4 linked regions of the Drosophila melanogaster genome follow. The protein of the gene in region 2 interacts with the protein of the main gene of each other region in a pairwise test. Each region holds a gene or a part of one and is shown on either strand. Other genes may lie near its edges.

Region 1 (4,367 bases), on a different chromosome or scaffold from region 2:
GGTAACCATTCGGACGAGTTGTCTCCTTGGCTACCGGTTTTGGCTGGTCGTTTGAACATTAACTATTTCCTACTGCCCTGCTGTCCCTTTGAACTGTCGGGAGCCAAGTTTCGCAGGCGGAATACGAAGATAAGTGCCTACCAGGATTTCTTTCAATACGTCACTCAGGTCTCTCATGAATGTGGCTATGAGATCCTACAAGACCGTCTAAAAATACCAAGCACCAAGCGATTGGCTCTGCTGGGAATTAAGAGAAAAGCCTCAAAGGCTATTGAAGATCTGGAGTACTTTGTCCAAGAAGAGCTAAGAAAGTATAAGACCGGAGATGCCAAAATTAAGCTGCGCGAGAAGGAGGAGAGCGTTCGAAATTGCACGCAGGTGGATAAGACCATAATTGATGGTCTAGTGTTTAAGATCTTCAAACTGATTCTGGACTCTAACGAAGATAAATGGTCTGGTCGTCTGCCCATGAGAGAGATTGCCCAGGCTCTCACCAAGGAGGAGCTGAGTGGCATTAAATCCGAGTGCGGCGGCATCAAAACATTGCTGCGCAATAAACACGAAGTTTTCGAATTCTGCGGTGGTGATCTCATAGGAATAAGAACCCCTAAACCAACGGCTACTCTCCCCAAATCCCATTTGACCATCAAGAAACGTAGCTGCTTTTTCAAGCTTCATCATCCGCTGGGATGTCCTCTCGATGATGCTGAGTGCTCGTTTATACACTAAGCTAACTCTCTATGTGTGTGGTATTTGCTCACCTTTATTATTTGGATTATAATATAAAGAAAAGTGCAATAATCGTGTCAATTGTAGAAACTAGGAGTCGATCAGTGTCCTCTAACGAGAGCTGTCACTGCTATTGCTGCGGCGTCGACGACGAATGGGGGAGCGGGAGCGACGCCGTGGTGAACGCCGGTTCCTCATGGGTGACTGACGACGTCCGCCGCCGCCGCCACCACCTCCTCCACGATTGTTGAACCTATTGAACTGGGGTGGGGATCGCCAGCGGTTGTTTTGCGGACGGCGCATCGGTGGCGAAGGACGACGCATGGGCGGCCTCTGTTTTACTAAGACAACCGGGGATACCGTAATCTCCTGGCCATCTATCTGCCCGCCATCCATATGCTTCATGGCCGACTCACAATCCTCGGGTGTGGCATATTCCACAAACGCCACGCCGCGTCCGAAGTTAGGATGAAAACGATCTACGGGAAACTCCACATTCTTCACATCCCCAAAGCTGCTAAATATCTCGAACACATGGTCCTTGGTAACGTTGCGGGTAAGCCGACCGACATGAATGCGCACCTGTTTGGGCGAAGGCGAGCGAGTCCGCGAACGGGAGCGCTCCCTTCGCTTCGGTGGCGGCGTCCTCTCAACGGAGCCGCGACCACGACGGCGTGGCGATCGTGAACGACTGGCTGAGCGAGAACGCTCCCGCTTAACATTATTGCTATCGGCGGCTGCCCTATCGTTGGATCCAGCACGGCGGGCACGATCCCTCGACCGACTACGACGATCGCGATCTCGCTCCGGCTCTTTTCGCGCCTTGCTGCCCGGTCTTGGAGATTTGGAGACACGCCTGGGGGAACGGGTGCGAGAGCGGGAACGTGATCGGGCGCTGGGCTTATCCTTGTCTTTGTCTTTGCCAGCAGCGCCGCCGCCACGTCTTCGGTTCTTCTCGCTGCGATCCGAATCGCTGGACGACGATGATGAGGAGCTCGAGGAGTCGCTGGAGCTGCTTGAGCTGGAACGCGATGACCCGGAACTGCTCCGCGAAGAGCTGCTGTCCGATGTGCTGGAAAAAGTGAAGTGTTTTATTTACTTCTCGTAACCAAGAAAACGGCAATGAAGCTGGTACAAAGTAAAACACTTCCTAACTGTGATGAAATTTTACCATATATGGTATGTGAATTTTTACAAAATCTTTTCGCTCGAAGGCTATTTTCTTCCCGTACTATCTGCTACGTTTTACAGAAGAAGAAGGACTTCCTTTTAAAAGTAACCCTTATTCCGGTTGGCAGATGGCAGCCATTTGTGGGAAAGACCTTTGCCGGCTGATTTACCTGCTTCTGGAGTCGCTGCTGGAGGACGCCGATCCGCGGCGTTTGCGTTCGCGGTCCCTGCGCGAGGAGCCGCTGGTCGCCTTGCCGTCCTTCTCTTTGGCGACCTTCTCCTTGTTGTCCTTTTCCTTCTCACCCTCGCCGGCGAGACTCTGGGCACGCGCCCTGTTTTTTTTTATTTGTCGAGAAAAGCGAGCTGTTTTAGACCATTTAGGGAGCAAAATGTGGTGCAGATACTTACATTTTCGTATTGCCGATTTGTTAAACGATTAGTTTTATAGTACCGCACACTCTTTTAGGTGCAAGCTAAAATGTTTTTATTAATAAATCTTGTTTTTCTCAACTAGAGTTAAATGCGAGTAGCGTTTTCAGTGGAGATTAGTGTGGCCGTGTTTGTGAACGTGTAAATATGACAAAAAAATAGAATACACACTTATTAAAATAAAATCCAGTTCCTTTACTTTGCTATTAAAAAACTGTTTTGCGAATATTAAGAAGCATTTTTAGTTAAATATAAATAAATTTCTTTTATAATATGCTTAAATCTCAAATTCTAGTATACAAATGTTTCTAGAGTATTTGGGATTAAGATAACAGACACCACTTGGTAATTTCTCACAGTCTCGCCGCGGCCACACTCTTTGTCAGGTCGAACCCAAGGTAAACTCCCATAAAGCGTAAAAATTTAAGACCTTTCCTGCCTAGCAATTTGGACTCGATAGGAAGTAATAATGTATACCGTGTAATATGAATAGTGCTTGTTTTCGTAACGTACGAATGTAGTGGAATTACATAAAACGCAATTGATTTAAGGCCAGCACTTTTTTATCTGCTGGTGACGAAGTGGTTGTCATTGTGAGTTCACATCCGTGTGCCTGTATGTGTGTGAACTTGTGTTGATTTTGTCCATGCGAGCAAGCGAGATAGCAAAAGGGGGCCGCGGGGGCTGGCCACAGCCACAGAGTTTCGATTTTCCATCCATATATCTACACTCGCAGCGGAAACGAGAGAGAGAAAGAGAGTGTGAGAGAGAGGAGCGCCCCGTCTGGTCTGGGCACATTTTACCACACTGCGTCTTTGTCTGCCGTCGAGTCGGGAGCTCCGCGTCTGGTGTGTAGTATTATTATTCTTAATATTTCGGATTACTCTGCCTGTAGCTCAATAGCAATATTAAAACCCCGCCCCGAATGCTTTGCGTTGAAAAACATATCTTAGTGTGTGTGTGAGTGCAAAGTGCAGTTATGTTGTGGCAGCAGTCAATGCAAATTAACCAGTGTCTATACCTCAAAGGCACATTTTTTTAGCCCCATCATCGTGTTTTGAAACGCCACAGCGCAGCGTAATTGCCAAAAACCAGCTAGCCAACAAGAGTTTCGTTGGTATACATATCCATATATTCATATAATCAATGTGTGTAAAGAAAACGAAACTAAGAAAAGCGAAAAAGAGCATTCGATGAAGTTGACTGTCATGACTACGCAATAGCAACAACAATAGGAGCTGCCAACAGACACATGTATGCACAGTAGGTGGGTCCTCTCACGTGCTCTCAGTGCCGCTCTCTGCTCTCCCTCTCTCGGTTTCTTTGTGCATCGGTGTGAGTGTGTATGTGTGTTGGGGTCCGGACTCCATGGAAAAAGCGAATATTTTGATGCCTGCTTCCTTGTGTGTATATGCGTATATTTTTTATAATTTATTGTTTTAATTTTGAGAGGGCGTAGTGTGACCCCAACTCGAACACCGACCCTGCCCAAGTATGCATAGAAGAACGCGCACACACATTTGTGGTCAAAATAATAGTTAAATTACGGAAATGTAGTCTATTTACAATGTTGAAGGAGAGCACCGAAGAGGTCGCTCTTTATATACATACATACATACATAAGTATATGTTATCGCTGCATTAAGTCTTATAATCTATGTTTAGAAATGCACTTATCTTATCTTTATAATAATATTTACCACAAATACCCTGATCAAAGAGGGGTTTTATGCCGTGACACAGTCGTTATACGAAGAGGGTGCTTCCAAAATCTTAGTGCTTCCATTTTAAAAGCATCGAAATTTATGTTATGAAAAGAAAAAGAACTTCTTATGCTAAGAATATATCACTATATAATTGCGGAGAATATCTTTGGGGTACAAATTATAGAATTCCATTATATAATATATATAATATTATATAATATATATAATATTTCTACTTAAATGTCTGTTTTAAGCAACACTAACCTTCTTCTTAGAAGAAACTTTACTCCACTTCAACATATTCAAGTAACCATTTCTCAGAGACTACAAACC
Region 2 (5,125 bases):
TTCACATATTTTCTTTTTGTGGTACACACACATATATAAGAGCACGCGTGCAAATAAACCGAGGCTTTGGGCGATAAGCCCTGAATTGGGTTTTATAAGAACCTGGAGTAAATATTGGGCAGAGTCCTTAGTTAAAAGTACGTGCTATCATCGTTGTAGAGGTGAACATACAATATTATGGAAATTTTTAAGAATTAGCATTCTTGGTAAAATGATTTTAAGTAAGCTGTCAAATGATCAGATACTGAAACATTAGTAATCGTCACATAGCCATAAATTTAATTGCGTCATATTGTTTTTGGGAATTGTTATTTTAGCTGGTGTACGTTTTGACACCACATCTTTTAAGCTTTAATCTTATTTTGATTCCACATTTTTTCACGATTTCTATTTCAAATGTCTTGTTTTTTCACCTTCGGTTTTCAGTTTTTTTTTTTGTATGCTGGCTATTTCGTCACTTTCTCCTCGCAGTGGCGTTTGGCAATCAACCGCTTTTGGTTTGCGACACTGCGACAAATATGATAAGATAAGACGACTGGGCATAGGAAATGCTTGCCAAATCCATTGTTGGGCAATAATAATGCAATGCCCAACGAAACAGTTCCACGAAGGAAAGCTCTACTCCTTAGCATTTAGATATGTAAATATGTACATAGATGTATGTAGGTCCCGAGATTACGACGTTCTTCTGTATTTCGGTTTGTACCGACGGACAGTCTGGTCGCCTGTGTAGATCAACTCACTATGTGATTTAGATTAAGAATGTATAATATGCATTAGATGCGTTCTCAATCAATGTCAACTGTCAATTTCATCTACCTGGTGCTTTGTTTTCTAGTAATAATAGACAACCGACGGGTTTAAAAACTCAGAACCAACCTTTTCTAGCTAAAATATATTTATTTAAATGTATAGAAAAAATGTTAAATTATTGTATATGTGGTAATGAGTAGATTATCTCACTGCTTAGTATTAGTATTTGGAATATCAAGAAACCATTCATTTGCTTAACTCGGCATTTTCTTCAATGAATGATTCAATAAGAAAACAGAATGAATATTTCGACAGCTTGAATTGGGTAACTACGAAGAAAGTGGCGTCATGCCACAAAATTATATTATATAAATATATTCACTGTAATGTTAAAGTTATAGGTGGTCGACTCGGTGTAATTGTCCCTCCAGCACCCCTAATACTTAGAGCAGCCTCTTCCTAGGATGCGGGCGTGGGCCTCAGCTCTCGATGCCCTCCGCCTCTAACTGGGCCTCAATGATATCTGCGTGCAGGCGCACCATGTGGTTATTCAGGTTGCCAACGCTCTGGTAGCACTTGTCACAGTACTCACAGGCGAATGGCTTCTCGCCGGTGTGCACCAGGAGGTGGGAGTTGAGGTGGCCACGAGTGAAGAAGGCCTTCGAGCAGCGATCGCACTTGAAGGGCCGCTCCATGTTGGGGTTGTGGGAGCGCATATGGGTGCGGAGGTCGGACTTGGTGGGCCAGCTCTTCGAGCAGCGCTGGCACTCGAATATGCGCGGCTTGGCTTCGCCGGTGTGGGTGCGCAGGTGGGACAGCAGCTGCGTGCGCAGGATGAAGCGGCGGTCGCAGTGCTGGCAGCCGAATGGACGCTCCGTTGAGTGCACCGACTTCACGTGGTAGCGAAGACTGTGCCGCGAGGCAAAGTTCTTGCGGCACTCCTCGCACTGGTACCTCATCTCGCCCATGCCGTGAACGGCTGTCATGTGCAGCTTCAGCTGAAAGTTGCGAGTGAACTTCTTTTCGCACTCGGGGCACGGGTGCAAGGATCGCGGGTGCACGGCACCAGAGGCCTTCCTCTCCTTGGGCTTGACGTTATCCTGGCGCGGCCTGGCTCTCCGCATCTTGGGCTTTTCTGCGGCATCAGGTGCCGGCTCTTCGGATGATTCCGGCGGCGTTGGGGGCTCGACTGCAAAGAGCTCGGCGGTCTCCGGCTGATGATGCGGAGTGTTTAGGCTTCCCGAATCTACCGACGATTCCCAGTACGAGGGAATATCATGTTCACTGTGCGAGCTGTCTTGGAAGTCCAGGCTTTCTGCGGTGGTGAAAAAGTTATAGTTAAGGTATGGAACTTTAAAGGACAATATAAACAAGGGAGAGCGCCAAAGTCACCAGCATGTCAACCAAATTTTGCAAGCTGCACTAATTTACGATCAAAAACAAAGTAACTATATTTCATATTAAATTCATTTATTTCTTGTTCACTTTTCTATGGCAGCTGCGTGAATATTATATTGTATATGAATATATATATATATCCGATAGCTGATAACTTTACAAGAGAGAGTTTAGTTTAGTGCGTAGAAACGGACTGACTTGGAACGGACTATATCGAATCTGTTGTTGATACTGATCAATATATATATATATATATATATATATATAGATAGATAGATAGATATAAAAAATACTTTTATCGAATCCTTTTACTCCTCGAGTAGCAGGTAGTTAAAATATCAATTTGTTCATGAATGCAAAATTTGTGTCTAGCTGATTGTTTATAACAATTGTTATTATAGCTTGGTCCATATAGAAAAACATACTTAATTAAATTCGAGCTGGTTATCAGCGTGCTATCAGCATGTGTCATATTTTATAATAAATTTTCTTTTATGACCTAATCCTTGGTTCTTTGACCGGCCTTGGCTTTTAAACCAATGTGTTCGCCCCGTGCGTGATAACTTACCAAAATCAACGGTCTCCATTAAGGGCGCCACATGGGCCACCGGCTTACTTGCTTGCAGAGGCACAGACATCGGTCCCTCCAGGCTGCCCACTTCTCGCTCCAGGCACTCAAGCACATCGTCCAGGGCCAAGGCGTCTCCCACGGCCACCGTGTGCTTCCAGTGCTCGTGCCGCATGCGTAGCACCTGTTCGGAGTGCTCGCACCGCCGCTGGAAGTCGCGGGCGTCGTGCAGGCGACGAAGGCACAGGTCGCATATCACATCGGTGAGGTTGTCGCCGTGCTCAAGGCGCAGGGCGGGAGCCAGGGCCTTCAGCTCCACCGCCAGCTGGCTAGAGGCGTCATAGAGACTGTGGTAGAGCGGCGGCTGCTCCAGCAGGCAGCAGCGGCAGACGAGCGGGTGGTGCGGCAGCAGCGAGAGCATAATACTTAGTTGCCGAAATCCGGACGGACGATCGCGGTTTACACTGTGAGTTCAATCAAGGAAGCCCCGATCTATACGGACGATTGGCATAGTTGTTTTCCTTGCGTTGTAGTCTTAGCTCAGTCTACTTGGGTTTTCATTTTGAAATCGGATCTCATTACGGTTTTACCACAGGCTTAATACTTCGTGCGTCTGCTCGGATCGCCGGTCGCTGGACGTCTGAGGGTGTGGATCCGCATCTAATCCACTCCTCAGAGCAGCGATGTCTATCAGGAAAGGCGACCGGGGCACACCGATAGCCCTTGGCTTGAGCGATAAGTCAGAGGCGGCGGAGGCGTCGGTTCGTCTGAGGGGTGGGGGCGCAGAGAGACAACGGGAGATTCGTCTGAGGAGAGGGGTGTCGTAGGGCTACTATCGACGGTCAACGTCAACGTTTGCTAATTTTCAGTTCGTTCCAGCTAATTGATTGCCCCGGTGGACATCCGCCGACTGTCCCTGAACCGCGATAAGGCGTTATTATCTCGGCATTATTTGGGTGGTCCACATCCCCGACACCCCCACCACCTTTCCACTACCATCCTCCGCCGTGCCCTCTTCGTCGAGATTTGAACAGACCGAAATAGATCTGTACTGGACCTTATCACCGTCCGTAGAGATCATCATTCCGCCGCGGGTTTCCCAGCACTGTTGTTGTATTTACCGCAAACTTTTTGGTGCTTAAACGGCCAAAGGAGTTGGCGAAATGACTCGCTTTCTCTGAAAATCACTTACCAAAGGGACTAAGATCGGGATGCTGGAAAAGAATGCCGATCAAGCGTTGCCTATAAGGTTTTCGGGCAACGCAACTGTGTAGAACGGGGGAAGCCTTAACGAAAATCATTTGTTTTCGGCACGAGCTTATAATGATCTTAATCGCTGGATGCGATGTTTCTAGACTCCAAAGTTCAGGAGCCGATACTAATTTAATAATTTCTACCGAAGGCTTGCTTTAGTGTGACCTACATCCTCCTTTTAATGAAAGTTCAATTTATTAGGTGGTGTAAATAGCAAAAGGCACCCAAAATAACAATTAAGTGATTGATTCAGTCAATTCAGTCAGTTTTTTGTCATTGTTCACTGATCCTGCATGCAAGACAGTTTCTCGCTGATCTCCAGCTGTGTTTTTATCATTGTGGAAAGAGTGATGGCCATGAGCATATCCCTCAAGTTAGTATTAAACATGACGCGAAATTTGTCCGAGTCCAAAAGCGGCACGGCAGTGAGAGCGGCGTAAAGGGATCTCCCGACTACGTTGTCAGGTTTTTTCTTCCTGGCCAAGACATCGTTGATGTAGCGCAGCACCAAGTCAAGGCGATGTTGCATATCCCTAGTGGCATCCACCACTTGAGCCAACTCTGGGACGAAGCGCTCCATTTGCTTGCTTGCCTGTTGCTGCGATTGCTTTTCTATGCAACGCAGAGCCACCAAATCGGAATTTTCGTTGCTAATCTCCAGTGGAACTAATGAGAACATCAGTCCTTTGGTGCCACCAGGCACTCCCATCTCCACAGCACAGTACAGTCGGGTCGAGAGTCGCTGGTTCTTCAGGGCTGCATCCACTAGCAGGTGCAGTGGCTGTCCTTCGCAGCATTCTCTGACATAATAGTCGTGGATCAGGGACGCGGAGCGGGACACCGATTTCCCAGTGCAGAACCAGCCCAGCACACGCTCGTTCGGATAGGCGAACATATTTAGCTCTAGGACCTCGGAGGCATATGCCATATCCAGATCAATGCGTTTGTTCTCCGAATGCTCCTTGTGCGGCACAGTAAAACAGTTTGTGATCTCGATGTGGCCCTCCTTGTTGCGACCCAGCAAAGTGCCCATAACCTTTGGTTTGATCATTACAAGATTAGTGGACAGGAGATGAATGCGCGCACACCTACCTGATTGTCACCTTTTGGTCGGCGATCGTATGCGTCAATAATTTGGAAAAACACCAACGG
Region 3 (6,483 bases), on a different chromosome or scaffold from region 2:
ATACCTACCAAACAGTGAACTACGGATGGCGACAACCAAATGGATCATTCGATGGTCTCATGGGACGTTTTCAACGCTATGAACTGGACTTGGCCCAGCTGGCGATCTTCATGAGATTGGATCGTATTGCATTGGTCGATTTTGTGGCTGAGACTTATCGAGTGAGAGCTGGGATCATGTTTCGGCAGCCACCTCTCTCGGCAGTGGCCAATATATTCGCTATGCCCTTTGAGAACGATGTGTGGGTGTCCATTTTGATGCTACTGATCATCACGACCGTGGTCTTGGTTCTGGAACTCTTCTTTTCGCCACACAACCACGACATGTCCTACATGGATACACTAAATTTTGTTTGGGGTGCTATGTGCCAGCAGGGTTTCTACGTAGAGGTGCGGAACCGATCGGCGAGAATCATTGTCTTCACCACATTTGTTGCAGCTCTCTTCTTGTTCACCTCGTTTTCGGCCAATATTGTGGCCCTGCTGCAAAGTCCGTCGGATGCTATCCAGTCATTGTCTGATCTGGGACAATCGCCTCTAGAAATCGGAGTTCAGGACACGCAATATAATAAAATATACTTCACCGAGTCCACAGATCCCGTAACGAAGAATCTTTACCACAAAAAGATCGCGTCCAAAGGTGAAAATATCTATATGCGCCCCTTGCTAGGAATGGAGAAAATGCGAACCGGCTTATTTGCATACCAGGTTGAACTCCAGGCTGGTTACCAAATCGTCAGCGACACCTTCAGCGAGCCGGAAAAGTGCGGATTAATGGAACTGGAGCCTTTTCAGCTGCCCATGCTAGCTATTCCAACAAGGAAAAACTTTCCTTACAAGGAGCTCATTCGAAGGCAGTAAGAATATTTTATATATAAACATAGTTTCGCTTTCCAATTGCATTTTACATTTAAATAAAATAGGTAATTTATTAAATTTTATACTAAAAATCCAATAGTAATTTAAACGTGTAACTAATCAAAATATGCCTAATTAAAAATTTTACAGGGATAAAAACCCTTTTATAATTTACAATTCAATAACTTGTTCGAAAAGAGGAAATCATAAAACACTTTGTTTTAACCCACAGACTACGCTGGCAGCGAGAAGTAAGCTTGGTGAATCGCGAGGAGCGAAAGTGGATTCCTCAGAAGCCCAAATGCGAGGGCGGAGTTGGCGGATTTGTCTCCATTGGCATTACAGAATGCCGGTATGCTTTGGGGATCTTTGGGTGTGGAGCTGCTGTCAGTTTTGTCCTGTTTCTTTTCGAGTTTATCTTCAGACACTTCAAACAAGTTTATCGCATAATTAAAGGCTATAGAGAAGTGCAGCGCTAGGCTCCACGCGTTTAATCCAAACACACTTAAAACTTAGATGGGTATGGATAGCTCCCGGACAACAGCACGCAGCACCTCAGGTGTCTTGAACTGCCAGTTCTGGATGTTCTTGCTGACCCGACACCAGGACTCGCCGTGCGTGGGCTCTGCAGAAATGCACCGATCGAGGACCTCCTGCTGCTGCGCCTCCGTGCCGTGGAGTAATTCGAACTTGTAGAAATATGCCCAAGCATCACCTAGATCTGGATCGATCTTGACCTGAAATAAACAAATGATTAGCTCTGAACATGTTTGTTTCTATTACATTTAATAGGTAGTATAAATTACTTACAGTTCGATTAAACCAGTCTCGGCACTTAGAGAACTTGTGCTCAGACCAGAACAGTTTTGATACAGCTAGCAGCACATGTGGATCGTGCTCGCATTTCTTGAGAGCATCCACTGACTTGGTCTTTCGCTGCGGCTTGGTTTCCATGAAGATAGCCTCCGCCCATAGCTCACCAGCGTTGGGACATTCCTGCAGTGCTCTTGCCATCATTGTGCTGGCAATCTCCTTGAGGCCCGCACGCAGCTCCACCCTGATGGCCTCCAGCCAGAGCACAGCCACTTTGGGGTTGCGTAAACGTCCTCGTTCCAGAATGGATCGAGCCTTCGTCAGCACTCCTTTGCGCTCTTCTAGATTGGCGGAAAGAATCCAAAGTGGGATGGACGTAGGACACTTTTTCAAGCCCAGAGTATAGGTGGCAGCCGCATCATCTGTCCGTCTCTGCTGCTCCTCAATCTGACCCTTCATCATCCACAGTTTGGGGAAATCTGGGAACACTTCCACCGCCTCCTCCAGCAACCGCAGAGCTTCGTCGAACTTTTCCAAAGCCCATTCCAGGCGAGCTGATTTCATCATCACCCTTGGTGTCGGTGCCGATCCTCTAGCCTTGGCTAACAAGCGTCTCGCCCGCTCATATTCCGAGTTCTCTGATTCCAACTTAACGGCAGCCAACCAAATGTCCTCGGAATTGGGATTGGCCTGGAAAGCCAAGGACAAAATGCCTCTCGCGGCTGGAACGTCTCCAGCCATCCATTTGGATTTGGCCCCCATCAGCCAGAGAATCTCCGATTTAGGACAATGAGCCACGGCTCGCTGCAACAGGGCCTCCAAAGATTCGCGGGTGCCATGGTTCTTTTCAAAGTAGGCGGCTCGCAACCAGATGCTTTTCTTCGAGGGAAATATTTGGAGGGCATGAGCGTAAACAGCTCGAGCACACTCAAATGCATTTTCCTTTGCGCACTGAAAGAGGGAAAATATAATACGGTTATTTTGTTCCAAAAATGTTACAAATTTGAAAAATGAGTGTTTCTTAATACTTACGAATTCAGCATCATCAATCCAAGTCTGCTTGCGATCCTCCTCCTCCACTCCTATTCCAATGACAGCCTTAACAATGGATTGGCAACAGTTGACTGCTCCTGATTTTTCCGCCTCGATGGCCTCCTGGAACCACTGATCACGGTTGATCTCCACTCCGTTGACGGTAAGCGAGGTCAATGATCGATCAATGATCTTTTCCACCATGTGAATATTACCATTGGCCTCCTCCAACTTAGCAGCTGTGGTCCAAATCTGGCGATCAGTGGGAATATTCTCGCGAGCCTTGTTTAGAACCTTTCGGGCGTTCTCGTAGGTTTCCAAGCGGGCGAGAGCCAACCAAAGTTCAACGCTGGTGTTGCAGCACTCCACGGCGCGAGAGAGTAGAATCCGTGCATCATCAGGATTCTCGAGTTCCACAGCCGCCTTCCACAGACGAACTGAATTTGGAATATGCTCTAGAGCTTTTCTGAAAACTCTACGCTTAGCTTTGGTCTCCGATTCCAGATCTGCGGCTTTAATCCAGATCCTGACCGAGGTAGGAATATGACGAGCCGCTTGCGCGATCACCGCTTTGGCTGTATCTGGCGGCTGAAGGCGAGCTGCTTCCAGCCAGAGATCCTCAGACTGGATGTTCATTTCGCAGCCCCGCATTATCAGATTCCTCGCCATCTGAACCTTGCCAGTCACTTCTTCCAAACGGGCGGAGGCAATCCAAGCTGGTGGATGGTTAGGATTCGTTTCCCTCACACTCTTGAGCAACAAACGAGCCTTCTTGATGTCGTTTATGTCACCACCATAAGTGGGAATCATACTCTGCAGGTCGGTGAGATAGCCCTTGGGATCCACCACCGTTTGGCCTGTCACGGAATCGGAAACCTGCGAAAGCTTGACGTTCATAAGAGTGTTACGAGCCTGGCCAATCTTTCGCAGATCAAGATCACCCGTAGGTGTCAGCATGCCTGGAGTAGCTACGCCAGGCACCATAGAAGCCAAGCCCGAGGACGGATCCAACGTAGAGGACGACTCGCCGCCAAGATTTCTGGATATCAAGCTGTCCGGCAGAGGGGTAAACTTTTCGGCCCTTGGATTTCGTTGCTTTCTGTTTCGACTGTCGCCCACTTCAGGAATCGTGGACCACTCCTCCGATGTGACACTGGCCAGTGAGCGTTTCAGGTCACTGAACTGCTGCTGGATCTTCGGTCGCTCCTGGCGGTACCGCTCCAAATCCTCACGCAGCCGGCGATCACGATACTCTTTGCGCTTTTCGTCCATTCGCTTGTCTATCGAATCGTAGATAGCGTCCGCCTCCTCGTCATCCTTGTCGTACGGATCCTTGGAGAACAGGGAGCCGCTGTAACCACTAAACTCGTCATAGTTTGAGTCGTTCAAGTCTTCGTCCTCCTCCTCCTCTTCGTCTTTTTTCTTACGTTTGGTGGCCGGCGGAGCATGGCGGTCGTCGGATACATCGTTTGCATCACGGGCAGGACCAATATCGGACCGAGTGGTGAATCCTGTCGCTCTAAAATAGAAAATATACCATTAGCATTAAGTTTTGCTTTGCGAGATGCGCGTTTGGTAGTACTTACCCACGACCGACGCCGGCAACATAGCCCAATGGGGCTGGGACGCCCAGGAAATGCTTTTTGTTGCGGTTGGCTATAACCGCCGCCGTTATGTTGGACATCGTGGCTTAGTTCTATATTAATATTATCTACTTTATTTAATAAATTTCACAAACAATTGAAAGTTTTCTAATGCGTGGTGCGCTTCTTCTTCTGAAATTAGGGATGGGAAAAATATATCAATTTATCGATATATTAAAATAAATGTAAATATTTATATCGTGATAGTTTTTCTATGATATATCAAATATCGCTCTTTCTGTAAAATATTTTATTGGACACATGTGGATTCATAAAAAACTGAAAACTAAGTTATTATTCTTAAAGGATCACTAAATTATTATATTTATGATGAAATATCTGATGATAAATGATAATATATTATGAAATGTCAAGAATAATTTGTTTGGGTACTTTATCATTTTGATAATTTTTTTAAATGAAAAGTGTCTGATAACGACCTGTAGTCGCGGATTATAAAAGTATTTGATATCGGAACTTAGCCTAAAACCAACTATCTTTGTTAAATATTTTTAAACTGATATCAGTGTTATTTTTTGTTATATTATTTGTTGGAAAAGTGGAAAATGGTCTTCTACCATACAGTTGTCATCTATCGATCAAAAGCGTTGTTCACATTGTCCATCTCTAGATTATCGGTGTAAAATAATTTGCGAATCGGAAAAATTAATTGACGAATAAACAAAAACGTAGCTTAAATTTTTCATTTTCCCTGGACTTTCGTTGCAAATAGAAGCAGGATGCCCGTGCTGCCGATGCCACCACTCATGCAGGTAAAAAGTAACCAAAAATGCGTTATCTGAAGCCATATAATCAGCAAAAATCGCTTATTACTCCAACAATAGAACGCCGTGGAGCCGATGCAAGTGGACATCGCGCCGCCGAACGAGGACAACGAAAACAACGAGGAGCAGCAGATTGTGGTGGAGAACCCCAGCATCGATCTCGAAGTGTACGCCAACCAATATGCCGGGATCGTGCGGCTCCATCGCCTAATTTATGTGGCGGACGTCTGCCCGGTTTTAGCCGTGGAGGCTCTGAAAATGGCCATTACTTACGTTCAAACCACCTACAACGTAAATCTCTACCAAGTGCTGCACAAGCGCTTGAGTGATCTAAACGCTGGAAATGCGCCTGCGCCACCAGCAAATGCTGGCGGAGATCAGGCAGGAGCAGCGGCTCCCGGTCCCCTGGCAGCTGCTCCCCTTCCGGATATCGCGGCACAACCTGTGGCTCAGGCTCAAGGACAGGCTCAACCCGCTGTCGAAAAGGATGCCTTCGCCTACGATGCCGCTTGGGTAGACACCAAGATGAAGAAGGCGGCTCTTAAGCTGGAGAAACTGGACTCAGACCTCAAGAACTACAAGTCCAATTCGATCAAGGAGAGCATCCGGAGGGGCCACGATGACCTGGCTGACCACTACCTCAGTTGTGGCGACCTCACCAATGCCCTGAAGTGCTATTCTCGGGCCAGAGACTACTGCACTAGTGGCAAGCATGTGGTAAACATGTGCCTTAACGTGATCAAGGTGTCAATTTATCTCCAGAATTGGGCCCATGTGATGAGCTACATATCCAAGGCGGAAAGCACCCCGGACTTCGCCGAGGGCTCCAAGGAGGCTAATGCCCAGGTTCATACTCGCCTTGAATGCGCTGCTGGTCTGGCGGAACTGCAGCAAAAGAAATATAAGGTGGCCGCTAAGCATTTCCTCAATGCTAACTTCGATCACTGCGACTTTCCCGAAATGATCTCCACCAGCAATGTGGCGGTCTATGGTGGCCTCTGCGCCCTGGCCACCTTTGATCGACAGGAGCTTAAGCGTCTGGTCATCGCCTCTACATCCTTTAAATTGTTCTTAGAACTGGAGCCCCAACTCAGGGATATTATTTTCAAGTTCTACGAAAGTAAATACGCCTCATGTCTGACGCTTCTGGATGAGATTAGGGACAACCTGCTGGTTGACATGTACATTGCGCCCCATGTAACCACTCTGTATACCAAGATACGCAATCGCGCGCTAATCCAGTACTTTAGCCCCTATATGTCAGCTGATATGCACAAAATGGCCATGGCATTTAACTCGTCGGTGGGCGATCTGGAGAACGAGGTGATGCAGTTGATATTAGACGGACAGATC
Region 4 (3,842 bases), on a different chromosome or scaffold from region 2:
CATTCTGGTTGCTACCGATGTGGCATCACGTGGCCTGGACATTGAGGATATCACGTAAGCAAATTTTTCGAGTCGAGGAACCCATTAGTCATTATTTTTTCATCCACAAAGACATGTCATCAACTATGATTTTCCGCACAACATCGAGGAGTATGTGCACCGTGTTGGTCGCACCGGACGTGCTGGCCGACAGGGCACATCAATAAGCTTTTTTACGCGCGAGGATTGGGCTATGGCCAAGGAACTAATTGAGATACTGCAGGAGGCGGAGCAGGAAGTGCCCGACGAACTGCACAACATGGCTAGACGCTTTAAAGCCATGAAGGACAAGCGCGCTGCTGAAGGTGGCGGTTTTGGAGGAAGAGGTGGTCGTTTTGGAGGCGGACGTGGCGGCGGACGCCGAAATTTCGATCAATTTCAATACTGATTCATTCTACATTTTCTAGTTATAAGAGACTAGAGCGCATTGAAGTGCCTTGCCAAAAATTGTTTAACTATTTATCTATTCCAATTATAGATGATCATAACCCAAAACATGCCGTGTTAAAAGAACACGCGATTTAAATGTATCAAACTAAGAGTTTAGAATGTTTATTGAGCTTAGTTAGTGCCACCGGCGTATTTCTCCAGCAGTTCCCGTTTCCGCTGGCGCAGCAGTGCTTCCTGTACATCTTGTTGCGTCGGCACGGGAACGTGAGCGGTGAACTTGGATGCCAATAGGCCATGAGGATCCTCCACGGCGGCTCGAGCCTTGGCATCCTCGATGGCTTCGCGTGCTGGTCCCGAAAGGGGATATATTTCATCCTCCTCTTCGTCATCGATTATGCGACCATCTCTGGCCATTTTCTCCCGCCATTCCTGCACGGCCTTCTGAATGGCCGCTCGTTCGATGCGTTCCTCCAGAGGGATCAGAACACCATCTTCGTCATCTCGATAGCCGTAGTATTCGGCATCTATGTCCTTCATTAGTTCAGCGCGTGATTTCCTGGGTGGCGGCGGAGGATCCTGTTCAAAGAGCTCGCGAACACCCGGCAGATCCTTGGCGGCTCCAAAGTATTTGTAGCCTCGATTGCCGGGAACTTCACGGCCCTCCGCATCGAACATCTTGGGACCATAGCGTCTATAGTGGGGGCCACCCAATGAGGATATCTGATTTTCCCAATGCCGTTTCTCACGCAATAACTTGTTGATTTCATCGTTCAGATCGCGAATCCGGAATTCTCCCAAGCCAGCTATAAGTGGTCGCTATTAGTGTATATTGTTAGGGAGAAATAAATAAACCGAAATAGGTACCATTCTGTATCTGGGCCACCTTCTTCGATATGTCGCGTATTATCTCCAGGCGGAACTTCTCACATCTGGGCAAATCGTGGCACTCGGAGGCCAAATAGGGCCGGCGTTCCTTTTCACCAGATTCCACTTCTTTTGCGGCCCGCCAACGTGCCAAAGTTGTCCTGTCGAAAATAAGCGGATGAGTGCTGGAAATCTTATGTTATACGTATATCCGGGTTACTTACATTGCCTTCTCTGCATTGCGCGCCTGAAAATATACATGTATTATTCATTTAATTAAAATTAATAAAATTTTCACATCATCTTACCATTTTGTTTACTAACTTCTTCTGCCTTAATTGCCAGTCACAGCGAACTATACGGAAATCGGTTACACGTTATCGATAGCAAGTACAGTAAATATTGTCCAGTAGCGATTTCACATATATTTTAAATGCAATTTATTAATAATATTCCCGATGAAACCCGAAGACATAATATTATTTATTTGTACTTAATATATATATACCATATGAATTTTATTTTCTCTTAATTGGATACATGCTGAAATAAACGATTACCATTCACTACGAATACTACTAAGTACACTACCGCGCACTTGGCCACACTGACCTGCCCAGTTGTTTTTTCACGACAACATTTACGCTCTTTGGAAAAGGAAACCTTTTTTCGCGAATTTCAAGCAGATCCCGACCAGAAACACACCTGCCCCAGGATGTTGGCCCTCATCAACAGGATCCTCGAGTGGTTCAAGAGCATCTTCTGGAAAGAGGAGATGGAACTCACGCTAGTGGGGCTGCAGTTCTCCGGGAAGACGACGTTCGTCAATGTTATTGCAGTGAGTATTTTCGCAGTGGGTGTGTGCGAATTCGTGTGGGTGTATGGGTGAGAGGGTGGTTTTTTTTGTGTGTGGTTGTCTGTTGTGTGGGTGGGGAGGGGGTTCACGGAAAGCCGGGGGATCAGCTACTACTTAAAAAGCATTACAAACCCCCAGTGACAAAGGAATTGGTCTTAGCTTGATTCCCCCACTCTAACATTGTTTATTTCTTATCTTTTCGTACTCCCAGTTTCTTTCACTGCATCCGTAATTAACGCTGTGCTAACCGTTTCCTTTTAGTGGTAAAGTTTACCGTTCCTGCCGCTGTAATCAATAAACCTACATATAGCCCATATATACGCATGTTTCTCCGCACAATGACGCCATTATCAGCACTTCAACCCCTGACCCCGTATTCCCGTACCGCCTCCCTGGTTTTTTTCACACATTTCTGCACGCTGATAATGCGACGATCTCAAGTTACCATTTACTGGAACTCGTAGATAGTTGCATACACTTGCCAGTCGTTGCGGGAGGTGGAGTAACTACTGCCTTTGTGACCGCCTGACTTATTATGAGTCATGTGAATTCGATTCAAATGTCTGCCCGCATCTACGGGAAATTTGTTTGTTCAAGTGCTCCCGAAACGGAAATATTCCCCTGCTTATCACTGCTATTAGACTCCAATTCCGTGTTTGCATTCAGATTCGTGCATTAGTGTAATGTTCAGGTTCGGAATGAAAACAAACTTGTGGGTGGCGCCAATTAGTCACTTTTCCCATTTCACTAGCGACTGCTAACCTATAGTATACCTTTTTAATTTAAACTAAGTCACAGAAGTAACATCTTGCCATTTTAGGAGCTTTCGATTCTCTTATTGAATGCATATGTAAGGTGATTGATGCTGATACAGAACAAAGATTTATGGGTTAGAATCAATTATCAATTTAAGTGTTGTATGTTGAATTAAATTTAGTACCAAAAGACATTGTTTGATCAATACTTTAAGATATTACAATAGTTATTTATTTAAGAGCATTTTCAAAAAGAATAACAAATTTTTTAAGGTTTTGGATGCTGTCATGTGTAAAAAATCAATTTTTTACACGAGTTTTACATTATTTTGGATTGCATACTTCTAGGCTTTGTTCTTTGCTAATATAAAAGTTGTATTTTATTTAAGACACGATTACTTACTAATTATTTTTGTTTCTTGTAGTCCGGCCAATTCGCTGAGGACATGATACCCACAGTTGGATTCAACATGCGCAAGATCACCAGAGGCAATGTGACTATCAAGGTGTGGGACATCGGAGGCCAACCTCGATTCCGATCCATGTGGGAGCGCTATTGTCGCGGCGTTAATGCGATTGTGTAAGCAATAATGATACTTAAGCAACAATCGGTAGTCAAGTAACACTGTAATGTATTAATCAACAGCTACATGGTGGACGCAGCCGATCTGGACAAATTAGAGGCCTCGAGGAACGAGCTGCACTCACTGTTGGACAAACCGCAGCTCGCCGGCATTCCAGTTCTCGTGCTGGGCAATAAACGAGATCTTCCAGGCGCTCTCGATGAAACCGGACTCATCGAACGAATGTGAGCGCCTTAAAATTGTTAAAACTATTTAAAAATTATAAATTAATCATTTAAAATAAATTGCAGGAATCTATCGAGCATACAGGACCGTGAAATCTGCTGTTATAGTATTTCCTGCAAGGAGAAGGAC

Evidence for each region.
Region 1: the proteins of CG30431 (region 2) and RnpS1 interact in a two-hybrid assay, tested with the Drosophila melanogaster proteins (one large-scale study listed by BioGRID).
Region 3: the proteins of CG30431 (region 2) and Prp6 interact in a two-hybrid assay, tested with the Drosophila melanogaster proteins (one large-scale study listed by BioGRID).
Region 4: the proteins of CG30431 (region 2) and CG9667 interact in a two-hybrid assay, tested with the Drosophila melanogaster proteins (one large-scale study listed by BioGRID).

What each region holds. Positions count from the first base shown.
Region 1 is NT_033777.3:9,550,125-9,554,491, reverse strand, and holds RnpS1 (RNA-binding protein S1), read right to left. Parts: upstream 2,459-4,367; 5' UTR 2,310-2,458; coding exon 2,308-2,309; intron 2,232-2,307; coding exon 2,070-2,231; intron 1,802-2,069; coding exon 841-1,801; 3' UTR 745-840; downstream 1-744. Other genes in the region: CG9386 (uncharacterized protein), read left to right, coding at 1-729.
Region 2 is NT_033778.4:6,200,962-6,206,086, reverse strand, and holds CG30431 (uncharacterized protein), read right to left. Parts: upstream 3,363-5,125; 5' UTR 3,141-3,362; coding exon 2,720-3,140; intron 2,069-2,719; coding exon 1,233-2,068; 3' UTR 863-1,232; downstream 1-862. Other genes in the region: eIF3f2 (eukaryotic translation initiation factor 3 subunit f2), read right to left, coding at 4,254-5,009, 5,066-5,125.
Region 3 is NT_037436.4:18,903,397-18,909,879, reverse strand, and holds Prp6 (pre-mRNA processing factor 6), read right to left. Parts: upstream 4,509-6,483; 5' UTR 4,387-4,508; coding exon 4,289-4,386; intron 4,222-4,288; coding exon 2,703-4,221; intron 2,622-2,702; coding exon 1,668-2,621; intron 1,621-1,667; exon of another isoform or gene 1,595-1,620; coding exon 1,370-1,594; 3' UTR 1,337-1,369; coding exon of another isoform or gene 1,090-1,336; 3' UTR 906-1,089; downstream 1-905. Other genes in the region: Ir75d (ionotropic receptor 75d), read left to right, coding at 1-856, 1,090-1,336; CSN1b (COP9 signalosome subunit 1b), read left to right, coding at 5,086-5,118, 5,191-6,483.
Region 4 is NT_033777.3:8,124,712-8,128,553, forward strand, and holds CG9667 (uncharacterized protein), read right to left. Parts: upstream 1,647-3,842; 5' UTR 1,605-1,646; coding exon 1,602-1,604; intron 1,541-1,601; coding exon 1,518-1,540; intron 1,455-1,517; coding exon 1,294-1,454; intron 1,233-1,293; coding exon 601-1,232; 3' UTR 579-600; downstream 1-578. Other genes in the region: CG7878 (uncharacterized protein), read left to right, coding at 1-54, 112-427; Arl8 (ADP ribosylation factor-like 8), read left to right, coding at 2,009-2,131, 3,330-3,484, 3,551-3,712, 3,779-3,842.